Linked DNA regions of Oryctolagus cuniculus. The protein of the gene in region 1 interacts with the protein of each later gene in a pairwise test. Links are inferred from orthologs where the notes say so. Each region holds a gene or a part of one and is shown in the gene's direction. Other genes may lie near its edges.

Region 1 (4,010 bases):
ATTAACTTTTTGAAGTATCCTCATATAGCTGCATTCAGCTGGTGAATCATCTGGGCACTAGGCCTAGGTGGGCTTTAGCTTGGAAGCCTTGGTTTTGATCCACATGAACTCTCTATATGGCCAGCTTGGGCTTCCTCACAGCATGGCAGTGTGCCAAGAGCTATAGGGGCATTTTCTCTCTTTCAGTGTCATTTCTACCATTCTTCATCGGTTAAAACACATCAGGGAAGGAGAAATAGACTGCCTCCTACTGGAGGAGTGAGTGGAAAACTGATTGCAAAAGGTGTTTGGGGATAGGAGACTTAGAGTCTACCACACTAACATTTAAACTAAAATACTCAATATGCAGAGATAAGTGAACTTCAGGACTGTATTATCCATCTACAAAGACACCTATGTAGGTCTTCCCCAGTAAAGTGACCCCTTTCCTCTGCTGAAGTGTAAGGGGCTCAAGCATTCTTGTTAACCCTTCTTCCCTCATTCTGTATCCCTTTTCTCTGGGTTCAACCCCTTAGTGTTCAAGAAATACTTAGGGTTCGCTTCTCCAATAGTAGAGGCAAGCAGTCTCAGCTTTTGAGTGCGTCCTACAGTGGAGACAAAGATATAAGTTAAGTTGCACAGCTTTGAAGCTTTTGTAATGTACATGTTATTGATCAGTTCCTATGCCTTAGATGTGTATTTGGGAAAACACTTCTGGAAGCATAGACCTTAGATAAGTGAACCTTTTTCTAGCCTCTAAACTCAACATGTATGAAGCTTTGCCAGGCTCTGCTCCTGAAAATGAAGACGGCCTTGTGAAAGTGAAGGTGGAAGACCCCACCTGGGAGCAGGGGTACAGCTCCCAAGAGGGCAGCCCCCACACTCAGGAGCTTTGCCGCCTGCGTTTCCGGCAGTTCTGCTACCAGGAGGCACCTGGTCCCCGAGAAGCTATGGCACAGCTCCGAGAACTTTGCCGTCAGTGGTTGAGACCAGAGATGCACACGAAAGAGCAGATCCTGGAGCTGCTGGTGCTGGAGCAGTTCCTGACCATCCTGCCAGAGGAGCTGCGGGCCTGGATGCAGATGTATCCTCTGCAGAGTGGGGAGGAGGCAGTGACCGTGCTGGAGAGTCTTGCGACAGGACGTGCAGACGCAGGACAGCAGGTGGGAAGGGAGTGTGTGAGATGGTGTGGAAGAAGAAGTGGAAACGTGTGTCTGTTCATTTTTAACTTTTTATTTAGAAATAATTTATAACCTATAGAAGCATTGGGAGAACAATACAAATAACGTTCACTCCTCACCCAGATTCACCGGTTGTTAACATTTGTTTCATGCTGTGTTTGTTCCCCTGTCCTGCACATACTCTTTTCAAGTGTGTTGTCCCAGTAGTGTTGTTTGTAGAATGAATTATATTGATCCAGCATATAAGCTAGCATTACATGTTGCATTTAGTTGCATGAATTTGCTCAGTCTTTCTCTGTCATGACATTGATGTTTTTGAAAGATGTACTCCTGTTTTATTGGAGTTTTTGATTTGTTTTATATTTTCTCATGATTAGTTCTAGCCTGTACATTTTGGCTAGCATGTCATAGAGCTGATGTATTCTCCTTAGTTTAGCACTTCAGGAAGCAAACATAATGGTTTATCCCACTACTGGTGAGTTTACAGTGGAATCTGACAGATTTCCCCATGAGAAAATTACCATCTTCCCTAAGTAATTTGTGGGAGACCTTTTGAGACAGTGTACTTACCCATTCACACACTGGTTTATCATCCGTCTGTTTTTTGTGTCTCTTTTTCTGGGCAAGGATCCTTTGTCTGTCTTACCTGCCATGTTTGCTGCTGCATCCCCAGCACATAGAACAGGGCCTGGCTCTTTGTGGGTATACAGGCCATATTTGCTGAATAAATTAACGCCTGTATCCCACTTGTAGTGTCTTTAGAGGATTAAATGGAGTTTGTGGTAATCCCTATCTGCTGTTTAGTCCAGTTCCCTTTAGGATGCTTTTTCAAGGTGAATCGTTTGTCTCCAGGCCTCTTTCTACATTCAGGGACAAGACATGCACCTAGTGGTAACAGAATATCAAGGAACCTCTTTGGAGTGTCAGGGTCTCCAGCTGTTGCCTGAGGTAACCACCCTGAAGTGTGAACCTCCACAGCTTCCCCAAGAAGTGAGTGGTGAGTGCCAGAGGGTGAGTTTAGTGAGGACAGAGGGACCAAGCCACCAATAGCTGCATGTCTTCTTAGTAGAAACTTGTGTGTATCTTCAAGTTTTTGTTTCTGTTTTTATATGCATCGTGAAATGATTACCAGAAGTTGTCATTGTCTGTTACCTCACAGTTAACCTCATGAGTGTGTGTAAGAATATTACATAAGACCTCCCAGCAAATTTCAAATATGCAATATGTTGTTATTTGCTATAACCATATTATGTGTTACATCTGCAGAACTTACTACAATTTTGTACCCTTTGACCAACATCATTCTGTTTTCTGTCTCATCCTATATCTAAGCAGGCTTTTAAAATCTGGGAATTGTAAAATGTTAGACTTCTAAGGTCTTATTCATACCGTCAATTAATAGTTGTGCCAGCACCGTGGCTCACTAGGCTAATCCTCCGCCTAGCGGCGCCGGCACACCGGGTTCTAGTCCCAGTCGGGGCGCCGGATTCTTTCCCGGTTGCCCCTCTTCCAGGCCAGCTCTCTGCTGTGGCCAGGGAGTGCAGTGGAGGATGGCCCAAGTGCTTGGGCCCTGCACCCCATGGGAGACCAGGAGAAGTACCTGGCTCCTGCCATTGGATCAGCGCGGTGCGCTGGCCGCAGCGCGCCGGCCGTGGCGGCCATTGGAGGGTGAACCAACAGCAAAGGAAGACCTTGCTCTTTGTCTCTCTCTCTCTCTCTCTCACTGTCCACTCTGCCTGTCCAAAAAAGAAAAGAAATTAGTAGTTGTGAAAACTGTACAGAAGAGAATTTAAATGACTTGTCTGGTGTCAACAGAGCCAAATCTACCTCTTGAATTTTAATCTCCTAACATTTGACCAAAACTTTCTCTACCACATGTCTCTATTCTACAGTTCTAATTATACTCTACCAAAAAACAGAGTGGCTCAAGCATAGGCTGGAATGGATATTGTGTTATACTGTACTACTCCACAGGAAGCACTCATTTCCCCAGCTGTTAGTAGAGTCGGGCAGAGGCTGTGGCTCTTGGTCACACCCCTCTGTGGGAATTGCTCTCAGTAGATTGGCTGCTGCTCCCAGACGTCCTACATCTGCTTTGCCTTGTCTCTGCTCCCTGTCTTTCCATTCTGTGTTATCTGCTTGCTCTTAGCTTTTTTACCTTTCTTCCCCTCTTTATTTAATCTTGATTGTTTAGTTTCTCTTTATGTATGTGAAAATGCATCCACTTACTACGAGTTTATAAACTCCACTCCGTTTTGTGGGTGGGACTTTATAAAGTTGTAGAATTTCAGGCCCCTGACACAGTGAAAATAGCTGCGGTGCTCTATTTGAGACAGTAAGGTCCACATCTCAGTTTGGATATTTAGCAAATGTGAGACTCGGGGTGGGCAACAAAGGGTACTCCTAAAGGTCATCTTGTCTCACTTAGGACTCTTGTCTCCTTGCTCTCCAGGGTTTGCTCCTCAGGGACCAGCCATTCTCCAGGAAGAAAGCTCCAGAGACAAGACAGCAGTGCCTGAGCTAAACCCATCCAGGTTCCAGGTGAGCAGAGTGCCCAGGCTTGTGGAAACCTCAGTAGCAGCCCTCCTCCTAACTGGTTCTTTGCTCTTCTGTCGGCTCACGCTCCTTACCCCGAAAACATTTCAGGTGGCACAGTGCATCTGCTTTCACTGTGTCACGGAGTGTCACAGATCGTGTGTATGTCATCCCAGGGCTTTTGTTGATTACATGCTTTTACCTCGCTTCATACCATGCTTAGAGGGTGCATCCAGACCTCAAGGTATGGCAGGCAAGGGTGGAGTGAGGCCCCTGGTTTCCAAAATTACCTCCTCTGATTTGATGACAAGTGAT
Region 2 (3,475 bases), on another chromosome or scaffold:
TCTTTATTTGAGGGCAGAGAAACAGAGAGAGACAGACAGAAGACAGAACTCCCATCTGATGGTTCACTCCCAAAATACTCACAAAGAGCCTGAGTTGGGCCAGGTCTCCCGCATGGGTAGCAGACACCCAGTTACTTGAGCTATTGAGCCCGCCTCCCAGGGTGCACATTACCAGGAAGCTGGAGTTGGAAGCCAGAGCTGGGTACTGAACCTAGGAATTCTGATGAGGAATGAGGGCATCTGTCTCTACCTCTCTATGTGCCCTGGTGCAGGCAGTGCCTGGACTGCCCCCCAACTCCACCCTTTCTTCTTGAGGCTCAGCTTGAAGGCCCCCTCCTGGGAAGCCTTTCACGGCTCCTTGTCTTTGCAGCAGGGTTTGTATGCTCCCTCAACGCTGGATTATTTGTTCCCACACAGGGCATAGGACCGTGGTTCACTGGGGAAAGCAAACCCAACTGTCAGGGGCCAGTCAGGAGAAGCTGTGAAGCAAGCAGGTGTAACACACACCAGCTCCACCTGGAGTTTCATTTCCCCAGCTCTGGGGAGACCAGCCTGAGAGCAAGAGTAAATGCAAACATTGTTTCAGAGACTAGGGAGCAGCAGCAAGAACCGGGACCAGGCAAGACAGAGCATCTGGGTCAAAGGAAGTTTACTCAGCTTCTGCTGGGAATGAGTCCAATTCTTTCACTTTTTTTCAAGAAAAGCTGGAAAACCAGATTTGCATATGAAATTTACCAATTTTTACGTATCAACAACTAAAAAACCATTAAAGACCCACGTGATGGCTTCCAAGGTTTTCAGGCTCTGGAACTTGTTCCCTGACCATCTCCATCTTCCCATCCAAGGTCACCCTGCAAGAGGGCAGGTTTCCTATTGATCCCAGGGCCACTGGTGTGTGGACGGTTGTTGAATACGCTCACCCTTCCTGCATGGGGCTGAAAAGGACCCAAGGGGCAAACGAGGGTCTCTGCCCCTCTCTGGGCCTGTTTCCCTTTCCGTACAACAGGGATACAATGCCTATTTGTGAGTCGCCTGTGGACCCACATGATCCATTCATAGAAGGGCTGCGAGTTCCGTACTTTTACACACATTAATCTTACTGGATTCTCACAATAACCTCTATGAGGTAGGTGCTAGTGCATCCACGTTTTACAGGAAACTGTAGCTCAGAGACAGGAACACCTTGCTCAATGAGAATAGTATTTTAAAGTCCTTTCTTCCCAGGGGCTTCCCACATTCAATCCTCGCAACAGCTCTGGGTAGGCACCATTACTGCCAGATAATAAACCTTGCAAAGGGGATTCCACCAAGGCACTCTGACCCCCACTCTCCAGCCCGGTGCTGTTCGGCAGAAATATAAATGTAAATTTTCCCAATAGCCGCACTTAAAAAGTAAAAAGACACGGATGAATTTAAGTTTAATAACATATTTTATTTGAGCCCATATAGGCAAACCGTTACATTCCAACATGTACACAGTATAAACGATTATTGGGGCGTTTTGCATTTTGTCCCTACGAAGGAGCACGTCTCCAGGCGGACCGGCTTCACCTCACGGGCCCAGGTGACACCTGTGACTGGCGGCCACCGCGCGGGCCACGCACTGCCAGCCCGCAACGCTTAAACCCTCAGAGCCGCCTGTCGCTTGGCTTCAGAAGACACACAAAAAAATAAAAGACGGCAGAGCATTCACCGGGTCGGGTTTTGTCACCGTCGCACTAAGGGCGGGTGCCGCCGACGCGAGACCACCTCGCCTGGCCGACCGCATCCTCGCGCCCACCGCCAGCCCAGGCGCTGCCGGGGCCGCAGCCCGGGTCCCTCTCCTTTAAAAGTACCTCACGGCTCCTCCAGCGCGTCGCTTCCTCCAGGGCCTCGCGACCGCGGCGCGGCGCGGCGCTGCTTCCGGAAGCTCGGCCTCGGCTTCCGGGCGCTCGCGCGACCGCGGAATCACAGAGGAGCCTCGCGAGGCTTCCGCTTCCGGCTGCGCCTGGAGCTCCGCGGGCAGGTAAGTTCCGCGCCCTCGTCACCCGTCCCGAGTCGCCTCCCTCTTCGGTCGCCCTTCAGCGGGACGCGTCTCTCTCCCTCCTCACCCCGCCCCCGCGCAGACGCAGTGCTGAGCCCACGGCTGCTGGACAAAAGAGTGACGCCCGGAGCTATGGCGGAGACCGAGCCGAGCTTGGGGGCCGCCCGGAGTCCCTCAGCGGCGTCGCTGGAGAAACGCGAGGAGGAAGCGGGCCCGAGCTCAGACCCCGAGCGTAACTCCGCGGGCCCCTCCATTCTAGAGGCCTCACCGCCTTCCCTGGAGCCCGCCGTCAAGGAAGCGAGTCCTCCGCCCCCCGCGGCCCTGGAGCTGCCCCTGGGCTCTGCGCCTCAGGCCGAGGCCGCTCCGCGCTCCCCGCCGGGCCCCGGCGGCTCCCGGCCCGGGCCCGAGACGTTCCGCCAGCGCTTCCGGCAGTTCCGCTACCAGGACGCGGCGGGGCCCCGCGAGGCGTTCCGCCAGCTGCGGGAGCTGTCCCGCCAGTGGCTGCGGCCCGACATCCGCACCAAGGAGCAGATAGTGCAGATGCTGGTGCAGGAGCAGCTGCTCGCCATCCTGCCCGAGGCGGCGCGGGCCCGGCGGCTGCGTCGTCGCGCCGATGTGCGCATCACCGGCTGAGCGGCGGGGCTGCGGTCCCAGGGCGTGGCGGGTGGGGCGTGGGGCGGCGAGAACCTGCTCCCCACTCTGTGAATGAAATAGAGTTTGGCAGCTCCCGTGGTCTGGTGTGTCTCTTTCGTTCGTCTTCTATTGGGGTAGTTTCACCGAGCCTGTTTCCCAGCAGGAGCGCGCGGAAGGCCTCCATTTCCTAGTCCTTGGGCCTGCCTTAGCTGTTGTGGGGTCCTTGCATGTTTGACCAGGCCTGGACCACCTGGATGATGGATTGTGGAGTCCTGCGGGTAGACGCTAACCTGCCTTCCTTCCCTAAGGCCCGAATTCCGGGGCTGTTGCCATGTGCTTTTACACCTTGCAGAGAGACTAGTTCTTGATGAACTCTGGTTTATGCCTCCAGACTTAGCGCCCCCGCTGCAAAATTTTAGGCTCCTGGTAGGGTTTAAATGGAGGAGCTGGTGTGAACGAAAGGATGGTTTGCATTACTGAAGCTATTCATTTTAACTTCTCTGCAGCTGGCCCCTAATTTAATCAGCTTAATTGTTTAGAGGGAAAAGAACTTGGCAAGAAAGGAGGAAAATCTGTGCTAACCGGGACTCCTCCTCTCTTGAGGCTCTGCCCACTCGAGGAGGGGCTCCTCGGGTCCCACCCAGCAGGGCCTGAACACAGTAGGTGCGAGACCTGCTTCCAGCAATCAGCACTATAGTCCATCTGCAGCTTGCACCAAAAAGCATGAGCCAGACTGGACTAAAAGCTGGTATGGGCATTTTGCTTTTGAATAAAGAAAAACATTTAAATGGATTCACAAGTACTTTGAATACTTTCTTG

What was found.
Region 2: the proteins of PGBD1 (region 1) and SCAND1 interact in binary tests that used the Homo sapiens proteins (3 or more experiments, as listed by UniProt). The two-hybrid records come from large-scale screens. The link is inferred for Oryctolagus cuniculus from reciprocal best matches to the Homo sapiens genes PGBD1 and SCAND1.

What each region holds. Positions count from the first base shown.
Region 1 is NC_091436.1:153,745,626-153,749,635, forward strand, and holds part of PGBD1 (piggyBac transposable element-derived protein 1), read left to right. Parts: exon of another isoform or gene 1-732; 5' UTR 733-746; coding exon 747-1,142; intron 1,143-2,012; coding exon 2,013-2,157; intron 2,158-3,612; coding exon 3,613-3,701; intron 3,702-4,010.
Region 2 is NC_091442.1:22,295,999-22,299,473, forward strand, and holds SCAND1 (SCAN domain-containing protein 1), read left to right. Parts: upstream 1-1,422; 5' UTR 1,423-2,155; coding exon 2,156-2,656; 3' UTR 2,657-2,755; downstream 2,756-3,475. UniProt on the Homo sapiens protein: May regulate transcriptional activity.